3 linked regions of the Schizosaccharomyces pombe genome follow. The gene in region 2 interacts genetically with the main gene of each other region. Each region holds a gene or a part of one and is shown on either strand. Other genes may lie near its edges.

The links. A genetic interaction does not mean that the proteins touch.
Region 1: of ryh1 (region 2) and ric1, extra expression of one rescues a mutant of the other (dosage rescue), as found in Schizosaccharomyces pombe (2 studies listed by BioGRID).
Region 3: mutations in ryh1 (region 2) and dcr1 together harm fitness more than expected from each alone (negative genetic interaction), as found in Schizosaccharomyces pombe (3 studies listed by BioGRID, with this or other methods).

Annotation. Positions count from the first base shown.
Region 1 is NC_003424.3:4,502,039-4,509,862, forward strand, and holds ric1 (Rab-specific(Ryh1/Ypt6) Ric1-Rgp1 guanyl-nucleotide exchange factor subunit Ric1/Sat4), read right to left. Parts: upstream 4,844-7,824; 5' UTR 4,804-4,843; coding exon 1,645-4,803; 3' UTR 1,448-1,644; downstream 1-1,447. Other genes in the region: CK2 family regulatory subunit Ckb1, read left to right, coding at 370-392, 472-751, 957-1,349; grp1 (GRIP domain-containing protein), read right to left, coding at 5,560-7,812. UniProt on the Schizosaccharomyces pombe protein: Probable component of a guanine nucleotide exchange factor (GEF) that may be required for efficient fusion of endosome-derived vesicles with the Golgi.
Region 2 is NC_003424.3:1,191,363-1,198,216, reverse strand, and holds ryh1 (Rab family GTPase Ryh1), read left to right. Parts: upstream 1-3,071; 5' UTR 3,072-3,180; coding exon 3,181-3,303; exon of another isoform or gene 3,304-3,346; coding exon 3,347-3,506; intron 3,507-3,583; exon of another isoform or gene 3,584-3,585; coding exon 3,586-3,697; exon of another isoform or gene 3,698-3,809; coding exon 3,810-4,020; 3' UTR 4,021-4,603; coding exon of another isoform or gene 4,604-5,020; 3' UTR 5,021-5,071; coding exon of another isoform or gene 5,072-5,155; 3' UTR 5,156-5,206; coding exon of another isoform or gene 5,207-5,301; 3' UTR 5,302-5,375; coding exon of another isoform or gene 5,376-5,438; 3' UTR 5,439-5,512; downstream 5,513-6,854. Other genes in the region: SPOM_SPAC4C5.03 (multispanning membrane protein, CTNS/PQ domain protein), read right to left, coding at 314-1,222; pseudouridine-5'-phosphatase Pud1, read right to left, coding at 4,604-5,020, 5,072-5,155, 5,207-5,301, 5,376-5,438, 5,513-5,555, 5,625-5,672. UniProt on the Schizosaccharomyces pombe protein: Has a role in retrograde traffricking of proteins from the endosome to the Golgi. Involved in protein transport to the plasma membrane. Involved in the secretory pathway where it has a role in acid phosphatase secretion.
Region 3 is NC_003421.2:1,503,611-1,513,532, forward strand, and holds dcr1 (dicer), read right to left. Parts: upstream 6,948-9,922; 5' UTR 6,681-6,947; coding exon 2,556-6,680; 3' UTR 2,536-2,555; coding exon of another isoform or gene 1,452-2,535; 3' UTR 1,390-1,451; downstream 1-1,389. Other genes in the region: Prp19 complex subunit Prp45, read left to right, coding at 1-705, 754-846; septin Spn6, read left to right, coding at 1,331-1,389, 1,452-2,535; ER to Golgi ceramide transport protein, lipocalin superfamily Svf1, read right to left, coding at 7,973-9,092, 9,564-9,586. UniProt on the Schizosaccharomyces pombe protein: Required for G1 arrest and mating in response to nitrogen starvation. Ago1 regulation of cytokinesis and cell cycle checkpoints occurs downstream of dcr1. Required, indirectly, for regulated hyperphosphorylation of cdc2.

The DNA.
Region 1 (7,824 bases), 3.3 Mb from region 2:
GCAATAACAAAATAGAAGTTGCTTTGTAGCAGATGGAACGCTAAATATTTCATTTTTGTTGCTAAAGCAGTTTTAATAGAATGAACTATTGTGCTACTATAGTGCATCCCAGTGCATAAACGTTTAAGTGCTAGATAACATACCGAAGTGCAGCAAATTGAATTTCTAGTAACACGCTAATTAGTTTTTCATTCCTTTAGTGTAGAATGAAGGAAAACACCGGAGCTCCAGAAAGACTACGATACGACAACGTACTTCTCTTCAAATTTTCCATATATTAGAAGCTGCTAAGGCTGAAACGGAAATCAAATTTTGCATTAAGCAATTAGGATTTTTGGTGCAGCTTTTCAACGTAAATCGGAACGAAGCATGCAGCTATACTCTTCGGAAAGGTTTGTGCAAATTAGGGTTAAATAAAAAAATATTTTACATTTTGGCCATATTGGACCGTTTATTAATCATTAATTGCAGTGAATCCGATGATTCTCAATATTGGGTTGATTGGTTTTTAGGACTAAAAGGAAACGAATTTTTTTGCGAAGTCGACGAAGACTTCATCCAGGATCGCTTTAATTTGACTGGATTGAGTCATGAAGTTCCACACTACTCCCAGTCTTTAGACCTCATTTTAGATGTATTGGATCCTGATTTACCAGAGGAAGTACAAGATGAGGTAGAAGCTAGTGCTCGTCATTTGTACGGCCTTATTCACGCCCGTTATATCTTAACGGCTCAGGGTTTATATAAAATGGTAAGCAATTATGTTTGTAAACTTCTAGTTTCCTGTTTTTAAGTTTGGATACAATCTTCGTGAACAAAACAGGCATTAGACAAGTATAATGGACACTAAGTGTGTAACTTGACTTATCTTTCAATTCTTCAATTTTATTACATTTATGTCATACCGTACTATTTCGTTTTAATTAGCTTTGGATTTTGACTAACATCCTTTCTAGCTTGAGAAATACAAAAAATGTGACTTTGGGCATTGCCCTAGAGTTTTATGCAACGGACAGCCAATGTTGCCCGTCGGCTTGTCGGATATTGCCCATACAAAATCCGTTAAATTATACTGTCCTCGGTGTGAGGATGTGTACACACCAAAATCACAAAGACATGCATCCATTGATGGTGCATATTTTGGAACCTCATTCCCTCACATGCTTTTTCAGGTATACCCTGAACTTGCGGTCCCTAAATCTCAAGAACGCTACATTCCACGTATTTTTGGTTTCAAAGTACATAGCTATTCTGCTACCTTTAAAAAACAAGATGTATACAAAGAAAAGCAAAAAAAGCGTTTACAGGGAGCCGAAGCTGAATCAAAAAATAAACTGGCAATAACTTAAAGGCATTTTGCTTAATCTTCATTAACAATAGAAGTTCACCCGATTCTTCGAAGTCCCATAATCACCAAGGCAAAAAATTTTATTTACATTATAGCTATGACAGTTTTTACTAGAATGAACTTTTACGTTTTTAGATTTTTCCCGAAGCATCAGCTCCTTTTATCTAAGAGCGTAATTTTCAAACTTCTAATCATCATTGAAGCTAAAACCTTTTATGCTTATTCAGCTTTGAACCTCTTTTTTTACTTTGATAATTGCTTTAATAATTTAGTTTTGATCATGACATATACTGTGGTTAATATTTATCCACTTCTTTCATCAAATTGTTAAATTGATCGTAAAGACGAATGTCCTTGGAATCAGGCCCTTCATCGAGAAGTTCCAGCGCTGTCTTCAGTAAACGTTTTTCGGGATCCAGACTCACCAGGTAGCTAGATAACTCCGTACAAACGTCCCAGTTTTTTATTTTTAAAGCCATTTCGTATATACTTAGAAAGGTAGAAGCACAACTGGCTGAACCCTGATGGATCTGCCATATTATCAAACACTCTGCGGCACTTTTAACATCTTCTGTTTCTAAACACTTTTTCATTAAGTCTTTTGGTTCTCCGAAATACTTAAATATCATCGGCCAGTATTCAGCTTCAGTTTTTCGCAGGCAACCCAGAACGATTTTAAAAGTGGTAAACTCTTGCAAGTCTTTAAATAATAAGGATACTTCATAAAGCAATTTATCTCGCTGTGATGAGTTGTAGGTCAATAATGATGAAGAAAGTAATTTTTCTAACACAAAATTGATATAATGCAAGTGCCCATATGTCTTGACTAAGTCAATAGCTTGCTCACGTTTATCTAACAGTAATAGTGCTCGAACAATTTCCGGAAGGAATGGATAAACACCTATTTGGATATGAGCGTATTCCATCTTATTAACTAAGTTTTTATGACCCTGGGTATAAGCAGTTAATAGAAGTCCATAATTGCTTAATACAGTCAGCAAACATCCCTGAGATTCCAGATCTATACATTCCTTTTGAAACTTTTCAGAAATATTTACATTTTTAATCAATTTAGCAAGATGTGTGTTATCAAAGTTACAATCAACCCCATTTTTGTAGACAAAGCTGGGCGATCTGAGGTCTTCAACAGATAAACGATGAAAATTTTCTAGAGATACTCTTTTTGATGTATTGAGAAACTTTGGAAGGCCATCTATAAGGTTTTTAGTATTTATCAAAACAGAGGAAAGGATCTCGCTAAAAGATAACCATAGCTTAAGTCCCTTTCCCGTCATGATCCATATAGAATGAAATAATGAAGGGATTTCTTGACTTCCATTGATAAAGTAAAACTCAACGTCTCCCGCTAGCATGCTGCACTGATATAAAAGCTCTTTAGAATGTTGTTTTTTTAGACTTAACAAAACAAGTTTTCCATTAATGAGAACCAGAAGGACTGCATAAAAAAGTAAATCAGAAGGTTGAATATTTGCAAGGTCTTTTGGTAGTAATAACGTTATGCTTCGAACTCTGGATGGAGTAGTGAATATTGGAGCAAAATTTACGGATGTTAAATAGTCGAGTTCTAATCTTCCTAATTCGTTTATATCGAATCTGATGTGATGGAGGAAATTATCAGCTGTATAGACAACCAAAGAATATTCGTCGCAGACTGACATTGTCACAATTGTTGAAGTAAACGATAATTTAGCCAAGTTTTCTCTATCGTCTAAAGGCCCTTTTGCTTTGTATAGGTGTAGCTCAAAGTTGGACTCGCAAACAACACCGGCTAGCAAAAATTGTGAGCACCAAATCATTGGACAAGTAACACTGATTAATTGTTCCATATTGGCATCTTTATATAAGAACCAGGTCTTTTTTGAGCAAACATATATAGCTAATCCATGAAGCCCAGCGATTGCTATCAAACTTCCATCATCTTTGATAGAAACATATCTAATAGGCCATTCAGAAGCAACATATGGTTGAGGATACTCAACTTGATCCCAAAAGTCAATGCCAAAATTGTTTTTAACGCTAGAACAAAATTCATATGACTTCGAAATATATAACCGATCGCTAGTTTGAGCTCCACAAACTTGCAAGGTGCTTTGTACACTTGAAACTATGGTGCTCTTTAAAAAAGGTAAAATATAAATAGTGCTAATAAATTGTTTAGAATCCGTAATACTATATAAGACATCATTTGTATTGTCGTTTTGTGACAAATACTGGATATCAACGTTCTCTTTTTCCATAGCAAAAAACTCGTCGTTTTCTTTTAAGGATTCGGCGATAATCGGAGTAGATAATCCCGTTCCCTCAGCTTCACCTGTAGAAGAAAAATTTTTAGATCCTAGTCCATAAAAGGAAGAACTATCTCTATCCCAAAAGCCACAGGATAACCCAAAATTAAAATATTCAGTTTCACTACTAGCACAACACAAGTTGAGATAAGGAGACAGTGTAGCCCAACCGTCATCGTATCCAACCATAACTTGATGGCCATCACCTGTCGTAGCAATATGATTAACCTTTCCGGAGCTTGCCGAATATTTAAAAGAATGAGTTTGAACATATTGGCGACCGAAATCTCGTATTTCATAAGCATACACAGTTCCATCGGCGGTACCAACATATAAAAGAGAAAATCTGGCATTTGTAGATAAAACAGTCGCCTTCTTTTCTCTAAGCTTGGATTCCAGGTCCTCATTAATGTCCTTGTCATTATCTGACTTATTCAAATCTACAGGGTTATGTACGCAAAGGCCAAACAGACTTTTCGTATTCGTGTTGGAAGAAACACCGATATTGGCATAAACTCTTCCATCAGTTGACATCCAAAAGAAAGTGTCGATTTTAACATCGAAATAGAGTCGAGATATGAGAGAAGAATGATCCAGAAACCAAGTGACTTCTCGTAAATCGTACTGTTTACTTGACACTTTCCACAACTTATTAGGGTCAGTTGTTTCCAGCGTTGAAACCTGAATAATTGGTGCAGAATCTGCAGCATAAACGATGGAGTCCCTTTGAATCTCCAGGCATTTAAGCCCACCTCCATATCGCATAGCAAGCTTGTATTGGATTTCACACTTTATAGGCCCAAATATTTCGCCAGGTCCATCATCGTATCGAGTTAAATAAGGACTTGGCGTTAGTACAGGCTTGGAAGCATTTAAAGTGAAATGATAGACAGCTACATAGTTCTTTTCAGTTGCAACCGCTATAATTCCGTATTCAGAGTTAACAGCTATTTTTTTGTTCTTTCCATGACGTTCAAATAAGTTCTGAGACTTTGTTATCTTTGATATGAGTGTCAAGGGTCGAATTTGATATATTAAAATCTCGGTTTCAGTCAAAACAACGAAGAACGACACTTTAGGGATTCGACATATTTGTATTGCTCTGGAGGACAATTGTATTCTCTGAGGTGTTCCATGAAGGAAGTACATGAATAGTTCACCTTATTCGACAAGGAGTTTAACCATTTCCAAGGATGCTGAACCCTTTGAGAACGTAAGGATCAACAGTTGACGCTGATGTTCTACCACCATTTTCGTTAAAAAGTGCAACAAAAGGAACAACTTAATTCGTTAAATAATAATTTCGCAATTTGTTAATTTGCAACTTGCATATCAATTGAAGGATACTTATATTATTGTATAATGGAGCTGATATTTTATTTACTAGATGTCAAACGAATGCAGTAATCTAGGAAAAAGCTTCTAGTCCATTTTTACTTTAGGAATGGCAAATTATGCTCTGCTTTGTTAACGAAAGTATTGTCAAATTGTACAATAGATTAGCCATCAGCTATAAAATTACAATAAGGCTTCAATTCATTCATTGGTACATGATTTCCTATTCATTTCCCTAAATGAGAGGTTTGAAAAAAGTTAATTATAAATCGAATAGACCTAAGCTCGGTTCAAGATTTCAAAAACAAGACAAAGAACTTGATTGGTTTAATTAATTATTCGCAAAAAAAAAAAACGTATTTGAATTCGTGGGTTCTATGCAAAAGACCGTTATTAACATTATAATAGCATACCCTTCCAAAAGATATTATCGCGTGAAATCACTGCCAAGAATGGAAAGCGGCATACAAAATCAAACAAATGTTCCACATCGTAATGGACATTAACAATATGATGAATAATACAAAGAAAGAGAAAAAAGCAGTAAAACGGAATGAAAATTTTACCACATTAATATTTCACAGACAAAAGCTTTTGCTTTTGTTCTTCAGACAAATCTAACAAAATCGACAGCAAGTTCACAATTTCAGGCCGACGATCCCTCTGTTCGAGAAATTGGAAAAGAATGTTGCGTGTGTATTCCTTATCTATTAGCATGTCATCCGAGCCAGGATGCTTAGAATTAACTTCCACTGACGAAGAAGAGCGGCTTACAGAACTGTTTCTCCCATGGTTAGAAGGTTGTTGCTTACGTAGTTGATTGAACACATTTTTGAATGACTTTTGCAGGTGTTCGTATCGTGCTGTCGAATCTTCCAAATTCTTGAGAAGTGTTTGATTTTCATTCTTCAGGGCCTCCAACGATAAACCGTTATCGGGCTCAACTGATTGAGTTTTCACGTTGGAGTTTTCAAAAGAAATGGCCAGCTCCTGATACTTTTTATTAGCTTCATTCAACTTAAGTTTCAGTTCATCTATTTGAGAATTTAGTTCATTAATTTTCTCCTGGAAACTAACGCATTCAGCTTGGGAGTTAGTCAGACTGGATTCTAAGCTTTTAATCTGAGTTTCGTAATCAGAAGATAGGTTCGAGTAATGGTTTTCACCAGCCTGCTTCAAATCTTGACGTTCCAATTCCAATTGCTCAACTAATAAACGTAATTTCTGACTATCCTGCGTTTGTTCACGGAGTAATTTACGAAGTTCAGTCAGTTCTTCCTCTTTGTTTTGCAAATCTTCCTCCTGTTCTTTCAGTTGACGGTCGAACTCATTGTTTTGTTCTTGTAATGAGGTAAGTTTATTTACCGTCTCTTTCATTTGAAGTTGCTTTTCCTGTGCACTGGAGAATAGTCTTTTCCGTTCTGCTTCACTCTCGGAGACTGTTTGTTTCAAAGAAGTAATTTCGTCTTTAAGCTGACTATTAGATGTGATGTAAGAATCAAGTTCTGTCTGCATCTGCGTTCGGGATTGAAGTAACCTACTTTTGAGTGATTCAGCATCGTTCAGTTTTTTAATATTCTTTTGATTTTCTTCTCGTATTGTTTCACATGACGATTCTGCCCACAGTAAATTTCTTCTGCATTCGTCAATTTCGTTTTGCAACTTTGTAATATAATCGTTTAAGTTATCAACTCTAGACTTCAAACTTTCAGAGTTCTGCTTAAATTTTTCCGAGTTTTCCTTTAAAGTACTTTCGGCAACATGTAACTGCTTAGTAAGTTCTTCAACAAGCTTTGGCGTTTCTAAATCTACGGTATACTCTTTCGGTTTCAAATCCAAAAAAACCAAAGGAATGGTATCTGCTAGGTGTATTTTATGGTGATGAAACACATATTTCGGCCAGTTCAATAATGTATCTAAATCAGTGAAAGAAAAATGATGCATTGGTTCCTTGGCATTGGCATTAACAATCAAATCATCATTAGCTATGTCTCTTCGTTCCTCTTCTTTACTATCGGCAACTGTATCTTGTTCTGCATCTACATCTTCACTTTGTGCTACCTTTTGTATGTCAGGCGTACTAATGGACTCGGAAAGCGCATCATTCTCTGTAGTCGCTTCTATATTTTGTTTAGTTGACTTTTTCTTTTGATTTTTACGATTCCTTTTCTTCTTCTTCTTTGATAAAGCACTGCTGACACCTATAGTATCAGTTGAGGGCCTTGAAACTTCGGGAACGTCATTTTTTGTCTCTACTGTTTTATCATCTTTCAAACTGGAAATAACCTCCTGCTCAATGGATTGTGCACTTTCCAACGAATTAATCTTCTCTTCAAGTTCCGAGCATCTTTGTATTGACTTTTCTAGCTCATCTTTTTTCTGTAGAATTAAACTGTTTTGATTACTTATTTCAGAGTTCAGCTTTTCAATTTGATCCTCGAACTGATGTTTTAAATTCTCCCGATCAGTCTGTAAATCATTCACTTCATGCGATAATCTCCTAACTTCGCTAACTGTCATTTCATAACGATGCTCTAAATTCTCCATAAATTCACGGAATCCTTCTAAGTCTTGAATACTTGACAACGGAGTTTTCTCCTGTAGAAGCTTTTGAAACGCTACAACGTTATTTTGTAGTTCATTCAATTTTTGTACGACGGAGTCCATATTTTTCGCGTCCTCTTCATTTTGAGAGAGCTTATTAGAAGATTTATTATTTCTTCTTAATTGATCTTCTTCTTGAAACTGCCTACGTCGATTCTTAGCTTCTTCCTGGCCTTGGGCCAGTGTCATGTTCAATTGATCTTTTAATCTTCCCAGCATTTTGATTGATAA
Region 2 (6,854 bases):
ACAGCGTTTTCAATGTTATTCTACATAAAATAAACAGATTAGATTAAGTAACAAATAAGCAAATCTATAGCAATGTGGGAAAGGGAATACTAGAATCTGACTAAGAGTGCTGAAATTCATCAAGTGGGAAAAAATAAAATAAATACCAGTGGTTCATGGATTTAAAAGCAAAACGTATAACATCACGCAATCCAATTCTAATGTGCGGAAAAAATTTTTGAAGAGTAAACCTTACTAACTGAATGAAACAAATATTAGGAATTTTTTCGGTAAACAAATAGATAAGGGACGTGAAAACATAAAGAAAATGTTATTATTCGGGACCAGTTTCGGCTTCCAAAATTCGTACAGCTCGCTGACTTTCTTCTTCCTGTAAAGTGGCCTGCAATTCCTCCCTCTTTCTTCTACTTTTTTCTTTGTGCAAATAAAACATGCAAAGCATTAATAACAATCCTTGAAGGCATGCGCTGACAATATACATCATGTACGTAGTCCAATTAGTACCGGGCAACCTGGATAGTAAATATCCGATCAAAAATCCACCCGGAGTTTGCATCATCATCATTGGGATACTAAGGGCACCATGGCTTTGATGGCGTATAGTTTTTATGATTTGAGGAACATACTGAACGACCGCGCAGAATGAAGCGCTAAATCCAAGGAATGCTGCCCAAGCAAAGTTCGAACTAAGGACGGTTGCGGATAGACAGATGATAAACAATCCCCAAGTAAATACACCAAGTAGCCCATAAGATGCTTTTCGCCATTTACGACTTTTCGTTACACTTAAAGGCTCAGGGATTGGTAAACCATTTTCGTCATCTGCTGCAACAAAGTGAATAGGTCGAGGGAGAAACATCCAGAAAGCCATAAGAACACAACCCATAATAAGTACCTGAGAACCCACTTGAATTAAACCGGTTGTGTTAGCAAAGCATTGCTTTTTGGAATAGTAATTTTGACAGCATTCAGTTAAAGGGCTAATTTGTAGAGCAATGACATTTGAGAACGCATTAAGAACACCTATGTAACCCAAAATAAGGTAAGAAAAACTTAAGCCTTGCGAACTTCCGAGACGAACAATGCGAAAGATTTGTAACAGGTAAGAAATGATGAGGCCTATGATAATATACACTGAAAAGATAAAGCTAGCTTTTGTTGCCAAAGGGCACTTCGGTGGTGTATCATCATCAAAAATGAAACTGCTCGTGCTAAACTCCATCGTTCATACGTACTTCGTCTCCTATAATAAAATCGTAATAAAGAAATGCAATACGAAGTTAATTTCTAATGCTTTGTATAAAAATATATAAATAAACGATGCCTGGGCTGCCAATAATGGTACGATGAAGTAAAGGTTGCTAACTTTGGGGCTTATTGAACAAGCGTCACTAAGGAAAGACAATTTAAAATTTCCTTTTGAAATAATTGGTGTTTAATAAATAAGTAAAAGGAAGAATCGCCAAAAAATTGGATTTTTCATTTAATTTTGTCGAAAATGGGGAAAGGAGAGGCAGTGTAAGCTACATTAGTCGGAGGGCTTAGACACAAAGTTGTGAGCTGTAACGTATAATATTGAAATTTTGCGATATTTAAAGTGCTATAAATTTGACATTGGAGAAAATAAATAAGTAAATAAACAATGAATTATAGAAGAAGATAAAAGGAACTGAATGAATTGTATATCTTAATAAACTAGGTAAATTTTTTTCTCTTTTAAAAACATGAGTGAAATGAAATGGCGCTACACATCTAAAAATTGAAATACATCAAGACACTTTACAAAAAAATTTCTAAATTGAATCTAAAATCAAGTTCTTTTGTTTTTAACCCCATTATCTTTTTAAAGATTCTAAATAATCTAAATTAATCGTTTGAACCAAATTTTTTATAGGATATATAACTACATATTTACTTTTTAAATTCTTTTTCATCTTATCATTAAATTCCGAGATTTTTTATTCCAAACAGCAGCTAATAATTATGAAATAACTTAGTTTTTAATTCTCTTATCTTTCTTGAACTTTTCGTCATATTGCAATAAGGATACAAATAAAAAAAAAATTTATTTTTAAAAGAATCTAAGCTTGAAAAGCCATACTATTTACTCTTTTATTGATTTCGAAAATTATTAAATTAAAACCCACTAACTAACCTGTTATTGTTGACATTAAGTATAAAATTTGACTTGGCTGTTCCGTAGCTAATTGTATCATTAATGAAATGACCGAGTTTGCTAAATTAACTCGAGTATATTTTCCTGTAAAGCTTATATTTTGCTTAAATCTGACTCGTTTAACAGCTAGTTTTATTCAAGTTAACAAACATACATTTTTCGAACAGTTTGGTGCAGTCTGCCAATCTTGAACTTGGTAGCAGACAGGATGCGTAGATTATGAAACATTCTAATAAAATTTCAAATGGAATAAAGCCATTATGTTGAATTTCAAGCTTGTTCTATGGTTTAACTACTTTCCATTTTCCTTCTTTCATCAGCTACTAAACAAAAAAATTACCTTATACTTTACTAATATGCTGAAGCCTTCAATGTTTGGGCATGTGATGCAGTGGTAGCATGCTCGCTTTGCATGCGAGTCGTCCTGGGTTCAATCCCCAGCGTGTCCAATATTTTTTTGTAAACTTAGCTACTCTCAGCAAAAATTAGGCCATTCCAATCGAGAGATTTCTTGTATTATATAGTTTAATGATAATCAAATCTCGATGACTCCTCCTTCCCATGCGATGTGGCGCGTTTTTATCCCAGTTGTCATTCCTTGAAATGTTGTGTATAAAACTATGAGTAGTAAACAAACTGTTGTTACAGCTGTATGTTTTTTAACACCCAAAAACCTATCACTATCAACAACTCAAAGAAAAAGAACCCATCTTTAGGAATGCTTAGTAATTTAAGAACGGTGAGAGTTCATGATTTCTTTTTCAGCGAAAAAGTTGTTTGTTATAGAATTACTTTACCGAGATTAAACTTCGTAAAAGCGAATGAAAAGTAAAACAAGCGAAAGTATATTAAGGATATGCGGCGGGATCTCACTGTAGCACGATAGTCTTTACTCACTACTACCACTATTAAGTACGGTGCTTTTTGATCATCAATAAGCAATTCCGTCTGTATCTAAATTACTTTTGTCTGTGTATATTTAGAAGTCAAAACTTTTTGTCATAATGTCAGAAAATTACTCGTTTTCTTTGCGTAAATTTAAGTTGGTTTTTCTCGGTGAGCAGTCAGTTGGCAAAACATCGTTAATTACACGATTTATGTACGATCAGTTTGATAATACTTATCAAGTAAGTAACTATAATTAAAACTTCTTTACTAACAGGGTCCAAGGCTACTATTGGTATAGACTTTCTAAGCAAGACTATGTATTTGGAAGATCGAACGGTTCGTCTTCAACTATGGGATACTGCTGGTCAAGAACGTTTCCGTTCTTTAATTCCTTCGTATATTAGGGATTCTTCTGTTGCTATTATTGTTTACGATATCACTAGTAAGTAATAGTGGCACAGTAATTTTGCCATATATTTTTACTCAGACTTTATTTTCGAATATCTGCTAACTACTTATAGACCATAACTCTTTTGTAAATACTGAGAAATGGATTGAAGATGTTCGTGCTGAGCGGGGAGACGACGTTATAATTGTTCTCGTTGGTAATAAAACGGACTTGGCTGATAAAAGGTATGACACTCCAGCTAACAGAGATTCAGCATTTACAATGCGACATCTCTTCATTCATAATTCCAAAGCTATATTTTGGTTTTTGATGGTTCTTATGCTAACGGTGGTTTAGGCAAGTGACTCAAGAAGAAGGAGAAAAAAAGGCAAAAGAATTAAAAATAATGCACATGGAAACTAGTGCTAAAGCGGGTCACAATGTAAAACTGTTGTTTAGGAAAATTGCACAAATGTTACCAGGCATGGAGAATGTGGAAACACAAAGCACTCAAATGATTGACGTTAGCATTCAGCCTAACGAGAATGAAAGCAGCTGCAATTGCTAGTGTATCTCATTGAACATGTCAGTGTACTCTAACTGTTTCGTGAATTATTTTTTTTCGCTTCAGGCCGCAATCAGCGGTTTTTAATGTCATTTGACCCTCAAAAAGTATACTGTGAGTATATATATATCTTCTTATAGCCCCTAAATCTTTTGCACCTTTAAAGAATCGCGATTCCTTTTATACCTGTTTCCTTTTCCTTCTTTTTTTACTTGTTTTAGTCCTTTTTTATTTTAATCCTGTCTCTATGATATATGCTTTACAAAAGTGAGAAGTTGAATTTCTGAATAAGTCTCTTTCGTTTAATCCCTGCGGTGCTTCTTGACTTTTCAAGGGCATTTGCAAAGAAGGAAAAAAATTACAATGTATGATTTTGGAATTCAGAGAAATGTTATTATTTTTTTTTTTTTAGATTTCGCTTTTTCCCTTTACTCATAAGTTATTTATGCTATGTGAGTCAGTTCAAGGTTTTCATTGAAACAGTAGAACTTTATTTATACTTCAATTTTTTAATTTTATTAAAAGATATGAGGTTTTTTGCCAAAAAAAATTGAATGAACCAAAAAAAAGTTAGCGGATATAACCTCTAGGCCTGCTTTGAATTTATGTTAAGATATTTGTTTATATCAAACTCTGAAAGACTCGGTAACGTCTCACATTGAGAATCAACAATCTCATTCAGCTGATCCCCTACCAAGTTTTTGATGGCAGCATCTGGAACCCAAATGACATGCATTCCTGCAGCCTTTGCACTTTTGACACCGGGAATACTGTCTTCAAAGGCAATGCATTGGCTTGGTGTAAGTGCCTTCAAACCTCGCTGCTTCCTACTTTCATTTATTAAATTCAACACCTTCAGCCAAATGTCTGGAAAAGGTTTGCCACGACCAGGTGCAATACTAGGATTATCACCTGTAATAACATTTTTACCAAATTTCTCAAAAATATGTTTAAGATGGGCTGTCTTCATATTATAATTTGCGGTATTAGAGGAAGTAGCAAGCTGGTGATGCTGTTAGCACACTTTTATTATAGCGTAGGGATGAGTACATACCCCGATATCAATTCCATGATTGGAGAGGTTATTAATCAAAGATTCAGCCCCAGGCATAGGCTTCAAAGACGACCAAAACTTTGCCTTTCAGAAAGTTAGTTGAAATGGAAATAAATGTAGCGTATAAGTACGTACCCGAATAACCTGTTGTTCATCAACGAATTGTTGAGGAGTCATAGGAATGTTGGACCAATCTATAACAACCTTGGCAGCTGCGGAACCCGGTCTCCCTACGTATCGCAAGTTAGACCTGCAATTTTGAAAGCATTTTAAAATATCTCTTCGCTAGCTTTATATAACATACCCATCATTTGAGCCTTAACAGAAATAGGAAGAGGATCCTTGCCATACCTGTCCAATATAAGATCTATAAAAAAAATAAAGATTAGAAAACATTGTAGTTTTGTGCTAAATATAAGCACAGATATATTATTTACATACTGGTCGTCTTTGTATAAATAGTTTCACTGTCGACAAGTAGACCCTGTAAAAAGAGTGATTGTTAATGCAAAAGCTTTCATAAGAGGTAATGTGGTGTGAAAAATAAACATACATCCATATCGAATAGACAAGCCATGTATTTTACGTGTTTAGCAGCCATTTCTAGGTAAAAAGATAGTGAAGCTTCTACGACCTAACAAAACCAAAGAAAAAAAAAAGCAGAAAAAAAACTTCCGGGATATCCAAAAAATCAAGTTTCAAAAAAGTATATTGCTGTATAACCAATAAAAAAGTATAAAATCTTCCAAAACAAGAATTAACAATTAAATATACAAATACAATTAAAGAAAACAAAGACACCGACAAATGAAGTGTTAACTGTATATCTAATTAAAAAAATCCGCGAAAAACCAAAAAATAAGGACAGTTGTTAAAGATCAACAAAGAAACGTCGATACAGTAAGGCGTGATAATTAGGCAGAATGAAAAATAGCTAAATCCCAAAACTGTGCAAACTGCAATAAGTAATCAACAATCGTAGATTAGAGTAAATCCGTGTGTCGGATGATTGGGAGCAATATTGAAGAGTTCGTTAATCTGTTTTAGTGAGAATTCAACCGCACTACTGAAAGAGAATTAAGCGTTTATATTAACCATGAAATTGTAATCCGGTTTTAATGATGCCTTAAGCTGTGGTGAATTTTCCTTGTAATTTACTTATCTATATCGCGGTACCCAGGTAGTGTAAGTTAGCGATTGTTTTGGGATATTTTTCTATGAAGGTGATGAATATTTTGACACTGAGATCGTTCATTTCCAAATTGAATAATACTGGTTCTGTTAGGCTCTCATTATATATCAATGAATAATATCCAGCTGACTATAAGCAATGATGAACCTATCCTGTATCATTTATGTACAGTGAATAGAGAAATAAAACATTTGACATATTGCGATGTATAACAGAATTGAACATAGCGAACAGCTCACGCATTATTCTCGAATCAAGCAGGCAATGATTCGCCCAGGAATCTCATACTAAAACATTGTATAAACAGAAGTTGAGGGAAAAGGAAAAGTCTCAATGACCAGCCATTCTCCCTCATGAAGTATGCTATGTTGAATTTTTTTTGTTTTAATTACTCTCTTTGGTTTTTAAAGCGTTTCTGATAAAGCCACTTGGATTCTGTTCATAAAATGGTGACTAATCAGTTAGCTATTGGAACCCATTTTGGCCATGTATTTTGAAAAGAAGAGCTGGTCAGACAAAATTTACAAGTACAATAGCGACGCACGTTAGCCATGTCGTAGAATCGTGTCAACTATAATGTGAAATTGTTGG
Region 3 (9,922 bases), on a different chromosome or scaffold from region 2:
GAAGCATTGTACACGGTGGAGCGTCAAGCTCGTGAAGAGGTCCGATATCGTGCCATAATGCGCCAAAAGATGGCTGAAAAGGAAAAGCAGGAAAAGGAGCAACGTTTATTTATGCTTGCTCAAAAAGCAAGGGAAGATCGTATGGGTAGAAATGCGGCTTCTTCGGGTCCTTCACATGCAAAACCCCGCTCTACTTCTGTCTCCTCTGAAGAAAGAAGTCGTTCCAGAGCTGGATCGTTCTCGCATCATTCAGAGTCAGAAAATGAAGATGAGGATTCAGAAGCTTTTCGCCGTCGTCAAGAACTTCGCCGCGAGCGAAGACGCCAAGCTGAAAAGGATCTTCGTCTCAGTCGAATGGGTGCTGAAAAACGTGCTAAGCTTGCTGAAAAAGATCGACCTCGTGATGTCGCTGAAAGGGTTGCTTTAGGACTTTCAAAACCATCAATGTCAAGCGATACAATGATCGATAGTAGATTATTTAATCAGGCTTCTGGCTTAGGATCCGGATTTCAAGACGAAGACAGTTACAATGTGTATGATAAACCGTGGCGGGCGGCACCTTCATCAACGTTATATAGACCGGGTGCTACTTTGTCCCGTCAAGTTGATGCATCTGCAGAATTGGAACGTATTACTAGTGAAAGTCGTTATGATGTACTAGGAAATGCGCATAAAAAGTTCAAAGGATCGGATGAAGTCGTAGAGGTATGTTTCAATATCTTATACTTTTACTTAAATACTAACTTTTCTTAGTCTCGTGCTGGCCCCGTCACTTTCGAGAAAGATATTGCTGATCCTTTTGGTGTAGATACTTTTTTGAATAATGTTTCTTCAAAGAAAACTTAATTCTATTCGATCCTTGACACTGTCAAAGAAAATGTACATTATTGTATGGTTTTATTCATTGGAATATGACTGTCTTAAAAATAAAAAAAAGTACAATTTACGTTTTGTGTTTTTTTTGGATCAAGGCAGTTAATTCAACAGAAGTTCATATTTAGTCTTAAAAATTAATGTTTATTCTTCTAATGATTAAAGAGCTAGTAAATTTGAGCATCGTTTTTATTTGTATTCTTGTTTCAACTCTGGTAAACCAGGATTATGAAAGTATTTTGGTACAAGATGTGAAAAAGAATTAAAAGTCTTCTATGTAGATAATTTAATTTGTATATTTAAAAATTTTTGATGAGGCATATTTATTTATTTATCTGTGCTTTTTATCACTGGACATTCGGTTGTTTGTTTATATTTCGCTGATAAACGCTGTTTGAAACAAACCTGAACCTACTAAAGAGCAAAATACAGATAGTTCGAGAAATAAATTTTTACGATGTCTTTGACTGAAAACCTTCAATTATTATTAAATTTGGATAGTCTACCATCCAAAAGGTATGTTATCGTTACAATCTAGTCATAAATTCATAAATCATTCATTAACAAATATACCACAGAGAAAATTTAATAAAAAGAAAAGAATGTGGTTTAACAATCATGCTTTGCGGAGCCTCAGGTACTGGAAAAACAACGTTCTTCAATACTCTTTTTGCTACTTCTTTGCAACCAGAAAAATCATATGAAACGGCTAAGGAGACCATAGCCAAAAAGACCTTAGAAGTTAAAAAGAATAAGGCCGTAATTGAAGAAGATGGTTTTCATATCAATCTTACGGTGCTCGACACCCCAGGGTTCGGTGATTTCATTGACAATACCAGTTGCTGGAATACGGTTGCAGAATATTTAGACGAACAACACGAAAGGTATCTAATTCATGATCAAAACTCTCTCCGTGTACCAAGGAAAGACACTAGAGTCCACGTTTGTCTCTACTTTATTACGCCAGTTTCGTTTGGAATGCTTCCTTTAGATGTGTTAGCTATGAAGGAGCTATCGACCCATGTAAACCTTGTGCCAGTAATAGCAAAGGCAGATACATTTACAACTCCCGAATTAACACAAATAAAGCAAAAAATTAGAAGGATCCTGGAAGCTCAATCAATCGACGTTTTCCATCCATCAACAGAGTATTCTGATTACGAAACTGCCGAATTACTAGATTCATCCTTACCTTACGCTATCATTTCCAGTGTAAATGAAGTTTGCAAAGACGATGGGGAAAAATCGCAAGGGCGTCGTTACCCATGGGGAACCTCTGAAATATATGAAGAAACACATTGTGATTTTTTAAAATTGAAGAAATTGCTAATTAATAGGCATATGCTCGAGCTTATAAATACAACTGAAACCAACATCTATGAACGATATCGTAGAGAGCAGCTTACGAATCGAAAGAGTGGCATTCCTAAGCTGAAAAAAGAGCATTACGAACGCTTGAACAATGAGAAACGTGCGATTCAACAAAAGATAACACAAATGACTAATGAAACTGAAAGCTTCTTTCAGGCCAAAGAAGAGAAAATGATTGAAACTCGAGATGCTTTGAATTCGGAACTTTCTGAATATCACGAAAGGATCCGTGCTTTGGAGACCCAAATTGAAAGTTTGAAAAGTTACAAGGGCCGCGGTCATAAAAAATGAAATACTGTATATTTCAAGTCTCAAGTCAAACTTTTAACTTTTCCATCTCCTTTTATTTGCTCATCTGATGGCTTTTTCTTACTAAATTTGCAATTACAAGAATACAAAAGTAAGTTAGACTTATCCTCTAACAATTTGAGAAGTCTTTGTTTCATAATATACTTTGCATTGGCAACTTTACGGGATTTGCCGTAAGCAACAATATTCCCGTGGCGGAAGAATGAAAACCCATAATACTTTGTTAAATGGAGTTCAGTATTTAACAATGTTTTGTGACTGGATTTCACCTCCTCGATGACACACTTTGTTCCGAAGTCTTCACATCCCTGATCTTTCAGTAATTGGTATACCTTGTGTTCAATATCTCCTTTAGCCTTAGTATGTGTCGCATCCCCTAACGAATTAAGAAAAAGAGGTAAAACGAATTGTAGAGATTGTAAACTAAACCCAGAATCCAAAAAAATGGCACATATCATAGCTTCTAAAGTATCTGAAATGAACTTTGGTGAATCAATTTCAAACCAGAACCACGGATTCTCTGAAGCAGTCTCCCTGAACGCTTCAATTAATTCTTGATATTCAAATATTGCATCACACATTGCTGCGCTTTCATGTTGGATATATTTGTGCAAATTCAAAACAAAGCCAATGTATGATAGACTCTTGTTACACACATAAAAAGATTTGTAATCAGTTAATTCGCCAGAAGTTGCGTTAGGATACTTTTTATAAAGGTATTGTACGATAATGTAATCCAATACAGCATCACCCAAAAACTCCAACTGTTGATAGTTTTCGTAAATACCTTGCTGAGACATCATGGAAGGATGAATAAATGCCAAATGGAGTAGTTTCTTGTTTTTAAATGAATATCCAATAGTTTCCTCTATATACGAGGAGTAAGGGAATTGAACATTTCTCAGTGAATCCGCATATGTATTTAAATCAAAATAATTGTTCCACTCATCCCAATTGCTGATATCCAGCAGACCAACGCTTAAAGATTTACAGATCTTGAGTGCTGAGTCAAGTCCACTGTCTAAAAGACATGCACCGATACTAGCTTCGACCATATCTGCTATCCTCTTAACCGATAATTTCTGTAAAACGGCGTAGCGGCACTTATCCGATGTGCTTTTCTGAAAACCATATGGACACCAATGACGGATTTCCAAGGGAGTCGAGAGAGCATACTTCGGCAACTCACAATCTATTGCTACTTTATACAAATTACAGTTGCTAATAATTTTCTTTCGATTAAAATGCAGTTGGTACTCTTGAGTATCAGGAAATTTCAAAAAAACTGTAATAGAAGCACCCAATTTTAGAAAGCAGTCTCCGTAAAACTCTAGACGATCGTAATCAAAATTCAATTGTGATTCCGCAGATGTTAAAGCCTGACAAGCAGTGTCAATTTTACAATCAAGTCGAAAGTGTTCGATAAAAGAAGAGGCGACCAATAAGTTTTCAATATGGTACAGTATGGAGGGTATTAGCAAGGCGCTGTTTTTCAAATGTCTAGAGACTGGGAGAATATAGAGGTCATTGATATAAAAACTGCGCACTTGCTGTGATTTGGGAATGGATTTAGCTCTATTGCCCCAAAGTGAATAATTTAATCGTAAAGGAAGTTTCTTACATAAGGCAGAAGGGGCCTTATCTTTCTTTTTAGCAGGAATCATAAATTCAGAATTGACAAATCCCTCAAAAGCATACTGTTCATATATTGACTGTGGATTTACTAATAATACAGTATCGGATTGCAAATCAGTAACATTTTGAACAGGTTCCGGTAATTTAAAAAAATTTTGGATAGTGTCAACATCTATCAGATTTTCTAAGAACCGGTAATCCGTGCATGACAAATTTAAAGGCGCAAGCCAGTAAGGAGTAGGTATTTGTTGCTCAAGAGAAGTAGATAAACCGAATTGAAGTAGATAACGAGTTGATTTTTTTAACAACTCAAGCAGATGAGAATCGATCTTAAAACTATCCTCAATCGTTTCTAAAACAATTTTAACTCGGGGGCCAACAGTCGAATTAAGAATAAAGCTATCAATTTTGGGGAATGAATGAGCTTGTACAAACACTAAGGGATGGAATATATGATTGTCTCCTTCATTAGCATCAGTATAAAGTAAAGAGACGAAGCAACGTGTAATATCTTCAGGAACTTTCATCCAACTTTTTGGTACATAGCGCTCATATGTCTCGATATAACCTTCATCTTTTAGCTCGTCTTCCTCAAGAGTTTCAAGGTCGGCAATTTTTCTTCTAAAATCTAGGGGTTTTAAATGTTTGTCTATAAGACCCATACGAATCAGATCCAAACACATGATGAACGCAGCATTCTGTTTGGCTTTCCTAATTGATTTAGCGGGAGATCCTTGAGCCGCTGGAACTTTGCAGGCTTTTGGCAATTCTACCTCAAAACAATACCAACCTGAAAGACAGGGTTGAGCTGTAAAAGTGGGATAATATCTTGTGTATACGTCTCTTGAAAGTGTGTTACAAAAGTTATAAAGCAGACTAACTGCATACAACCCTGTGAGTAAAGCACCAGTCTCGCCAACTTCATAGACGATATCATCAGTCACACGTTCTCTTTCCTCACATACCAATGAATCAAAAATATTCGAATTGCTGAGCTCTGAAAGGGCAAATTTAAGATTTTTTTCTTCGTGTAGAATGCGTTCATGAATTAACAACTCTTCTGTGTTTAAAAAAATTAGAAACTTTGAAGCCATTGCTCTCGCTCTACCTCGAGATTGGACATACTGGGTGACAGTCCGACAAATATTGAAGCGTATAACTAAGTTACATGATGGTACATCGATACCTTCTTCTGCAACTGCAGTAGCAATTAAAACATTATATTTTCCAGTCTTAAACTTATGAAGGGTATCTTTTTGCCTCCTGAATGTCATAGAAAATTCACCCTGATCGGACGGTCCATGTCCTATAAAAGAATGAGCGCGGATGTTAGGCAGATTAAGAGTTTTCATAAACAAACTTAAAGTAAACGCCGTAGCTTTTCTTTCAACGAAAATAACCGTACGAACGCTATCACTTTTGCGGTAAGTAGCCTTTAACAATTCTAAGAGTTTAAAGACTTTATCAGTAACATCAGTGGAATCAAAAACAGGGATTCTAGGGCCATTGTCTGAATATTTGTTATTTTTCCAATCTTCAACAAATATTTTTAACCGGTCAATTGCCAGTTCCTCGTCATCTGACAACTGCTTCCCTAAAGCCTTTTTTTTTAATCTTTTCGTTTCCACAAAATCAACCAAATATAACCAAACTTGCTCCCCAAACCAAAGACCCATATCTATGGTTTCTGCTAAAGCAGTCTTAACAGCCCGAGAAATTAACTTGCATCCTTGAAGAGTTTCCTCGCATTTCTTGATAATAGAATCCGAGGGTGGCACAACCAACTTATTGGAATACATTACATAGCTTTCTTCGGGAAGACAGAAGTAATCGGCTAGCTCGTTTTCCGAAACCACGTGTGCTTTAGAATCAAATAATTGCTCCCATTGATACAGTCGATGGTATAAGTTTCCTTTTTTTCCAGTGAATGGTGAAGCAGTCATACCAAAAATTCTTGGTAGGGTGAAATGTTTTTTTGACAATACTGCTTTGGCTCTGTGATAAAAATCATTCATGATGCGAGCATACGCATCATTTCCAATTGCATGATGACATTCGTCGAATATAATTAAATTCAAATCATTTATTGAAAGAAAACCTCTTGCAAGAAACAAATAGAACAAATCTGCAGTAATAACAATCACATTATACTTCAATATAATATTAGTCAACAACTGCTCGCTCATTTCTATAGATAATTCGCCATAAAACATGCCAACCTTAGCCGGTAGTTGAGATCGAATGTATTCCGCTTGTTGAAATACCAAAGGGACTTTGTTGACGAGAAAAACTGATATTTTTTTATGTTCAAGATTTGATTCTTGGATTAAAATTTGCTCCTCGAGCTTTTGTTTTATCAACTTCACAGCAAGTAATGTCTTACCAGCGCCCGTTCTCATAACAAGTAAAGTATTTTGCTTGCTCGCGATATTATACACATCTTGTTGATATTTACGTAAAAGTTGAGGAAGTAGAAAACTTGAAATATCCATTCAAAAAGAAAATAAAGGCGGAAGGTTTCATTCAATTGACGAGAAATTTGTCTCTTAAAAAATAATGAATCCTAAGCTATTCAAATAAACATGCATATGTTCATCTTTACCAGAAGAAAAAGAACAATCACACGAGCAGAATACTTCCTATAATTGTTTGTGAGATTGATAAAAACAGACGCAATACTATTGATAGCTTCTAAATTCGTTGTTAAGGGGAATCATTACACTTATAGATTCTGGTGTTTTAAGAGAAAAGTAGGTGGTAGTTTTTTACAACATAAGTTACGCACTTTAATAAAAAATGATTAAACGCCTATGCTTTATTTTAAAATGTTTAAAAAAAAAAAAAAAAAAAAAAGGAAAATTGCATATACATATTATTATTAAATCAATATTATTGAATGAAGAAAGGACTGTACGACTTGCTTGTAAATCCGTGAAATTCAGTTACGTTGAATTACTGGTTTCCAATGCTTTATGCTAGAATGATTCGGTTTTTTAAGAATTATTTACATAATATTTTAATAATAAATACATACATATATATCTGTTTACGCGTTCACTGCCTGCTCTTATCGGAACATAGGAAAACTTATTAAAAAAATATTAGAAAACATTAAACATACAATACTTTTTTATTATAAAGTGGTAAAAGCGAAATTATCAATAATAGAAAAACTGCTTTCGTAGAAAACCAATACAACATTTACAATGAATTAGTTTTTTAAATAAAATAGAAGTTGAGAAGTTGCTAATTAGTATCCACTTAATGATGAAAACAATATTATTTGAAGTCTCTAAAATGAAAAGTATTCAAATTTTTAAAAAATTTTAAAACATTCTCGCTCGTTTACACAGACTGCAGTCTTTCAATAAACATAAGCGAATGCACAATTTTGCCAGATGCCTTGCCCATGTCCATCAGTATAGGTATTAGGATGACAAGATCGATTTAGTACACAAACAAGAGAACGAATGAATTTCAGAGCTTGTAGCACAAGACCATTAACAAGAATCATATTCAATATGAGAGCAGCACAACTATCAAGTTCAGAGTATAAGTGATAAGTCTATATGAAGTTATTTTAATAAAACGAAAAATAGTATGAAAAAAAAATTCGAAGACACGAAATTAAAAACAACAGGACAAAAAAAAGGAAAAAAAGAATACAAAACCAGAGAGTTTAATATAGAAAAGCTCTGAAAAAAAGATGGATGCACGTTCACTCTTTGTTTAAGCCCAAAATGCATCGAATTATTTATGCTTGAATATTTTTGTTAAAAGATGCTTATGAAATAAAAGTAGTCTCATTAAAAAGCGTGGCTTCATCTTCAATAACCTCGTCACCCATCTTCAGTGTAAATTTGACAGGTGAGAAATATTGGTAGATGAAAGGTTTCGTTCCAGAGACTCCATGGACGAAACCCTTAAGCCAAGATGGTATCTCGGCAAGAACGTCGATGCGTTGAAGACGTCTTCCCAAAGGAGCATCGACTGAAAGATGAATATCTTCGGTGTATGTTTCAGCATCCTTTCCGTCCCATTCGTAGGAAATGCGAGTGGGTTCATGCCATTCCGTATCGGGATCGAGTGTGGTCTCAACGTGCTCAATAGTATTATCGACAGTTGCACTAATAATTTTGTCTTTCATAGCGATACCACCAATATTGACAATAGTAGAACCATAGCTAGGGGGTGTCTTGAACTGCATCATGATGGCGGTAAACTTTTTATGCTGCAAGAGGGCAAACTCCCAAGATGAAGCAAGATGGTGGGGTTTGCCATTTTGGAGTGCATGAACAAACATGCCGGGACCAGTGACATCCACAACTCTACCCCTTGCAACGATGCTACCTTCAACACGAGTGCGAGGCCAAAAGGTATGCTTCATGGAAGCCCAGGGCTTACTAGGATCTGTTCCATAAGTAGAATTTCCATCTTCACCGATTTTAAAAGGAGGAGCGTCTTGATGGACAGTTATATCGATGATGGAGTCCATGTTGATGGAGGCACGAATTCGGTAACGCTTTTGGTCTTCCAACACGACAGAGCAATTTTTGGCGACAAAGGAGGTTTTGTCATTTTCAAAGCTAAATTGATCCATGTTGGTAGAAGTCCACAAATCGTTTTCAGGATGCTTCAAATCGAAAATGCGACACGTAGATTGAGCGGTGGTTGTCCAAGAACCCAAGTTGGAATGTATCAATTGAACAAAGCACATATAGTCACCCTCATTTGGCTTGATATAAAAGACTTGCGTTTCCACATGGCTGGAAGAGGGAGTGCTCCATTTGAAGTCGTCGGCTTCAAGCCTATGGAAAGGATTAATGCCCTGAACGGATGCAGTGACGGGTTGGATAGCCTCAGGACCATAAACGGGTTCCGCTGTGCCAGTATAGTAGGATATGCTAAAATCGAGTTAGAAATAATAAAAAACAGTAAAAACAAGTTATTAGAATAGACAACTGAATGTTTTGTAAGACAACACGAAAAAAATGGATTCAAATAGCAGATGTCTGATAGATGAAAAAAACGGAAAAGAAAAAAGAATTTTGTTTTTTGCTCATCGAATTTAAAAAAAAATTTTTAAGACAAAAAAAATAATCGAAAACATGAAGGAAATGTCAGTGAATACATATCGATATCCAATTATTAGTCGATTATATTACCGTTTTTATTCATAGGACAAACACTCGATCCGTTTTTAGGGGTCCATATTTTTACAACCTCTAATCAAGCCAAAGAGTACCAAAAATTGAACATACACATTGTAAATCACTGTATAAATCCATTCTTTTGCGTTTGAATTACAAATCCTCGCTGAAACGAAGAAAAAAGCACTCGGCAGCGATCGAATCCAAATGTCCAGTTGTACTTACCTAGATTGTAGCCAGGCCTTCATGATTAATTAAAATGAAAAATGAGAAAATGAAAAAGCTAGGAACACACAAAGCAAAAGATAGGCGACCAGCAAACGGAGAGAGGACACGTTAATGGCCTAAAAAATAGGACAAAGAAAATGTTGGTAAAGGATAACTAAGATGAGCTGGGAAAACAAAAGCACTTAGTGCAATTCGTTACGGAACCGAAGCAGCCAAAAAAATGGAATGATGATTGTTTAGTGATTGACGTAATGCAAAACGCTATAATACTTTTATGAGATACAACGTATAAGAAGGTGGTTTTAGCATTGTCTTGGGTTCCTCATCATTCCGTATGCTCCCGTTGTCGTAGTGGA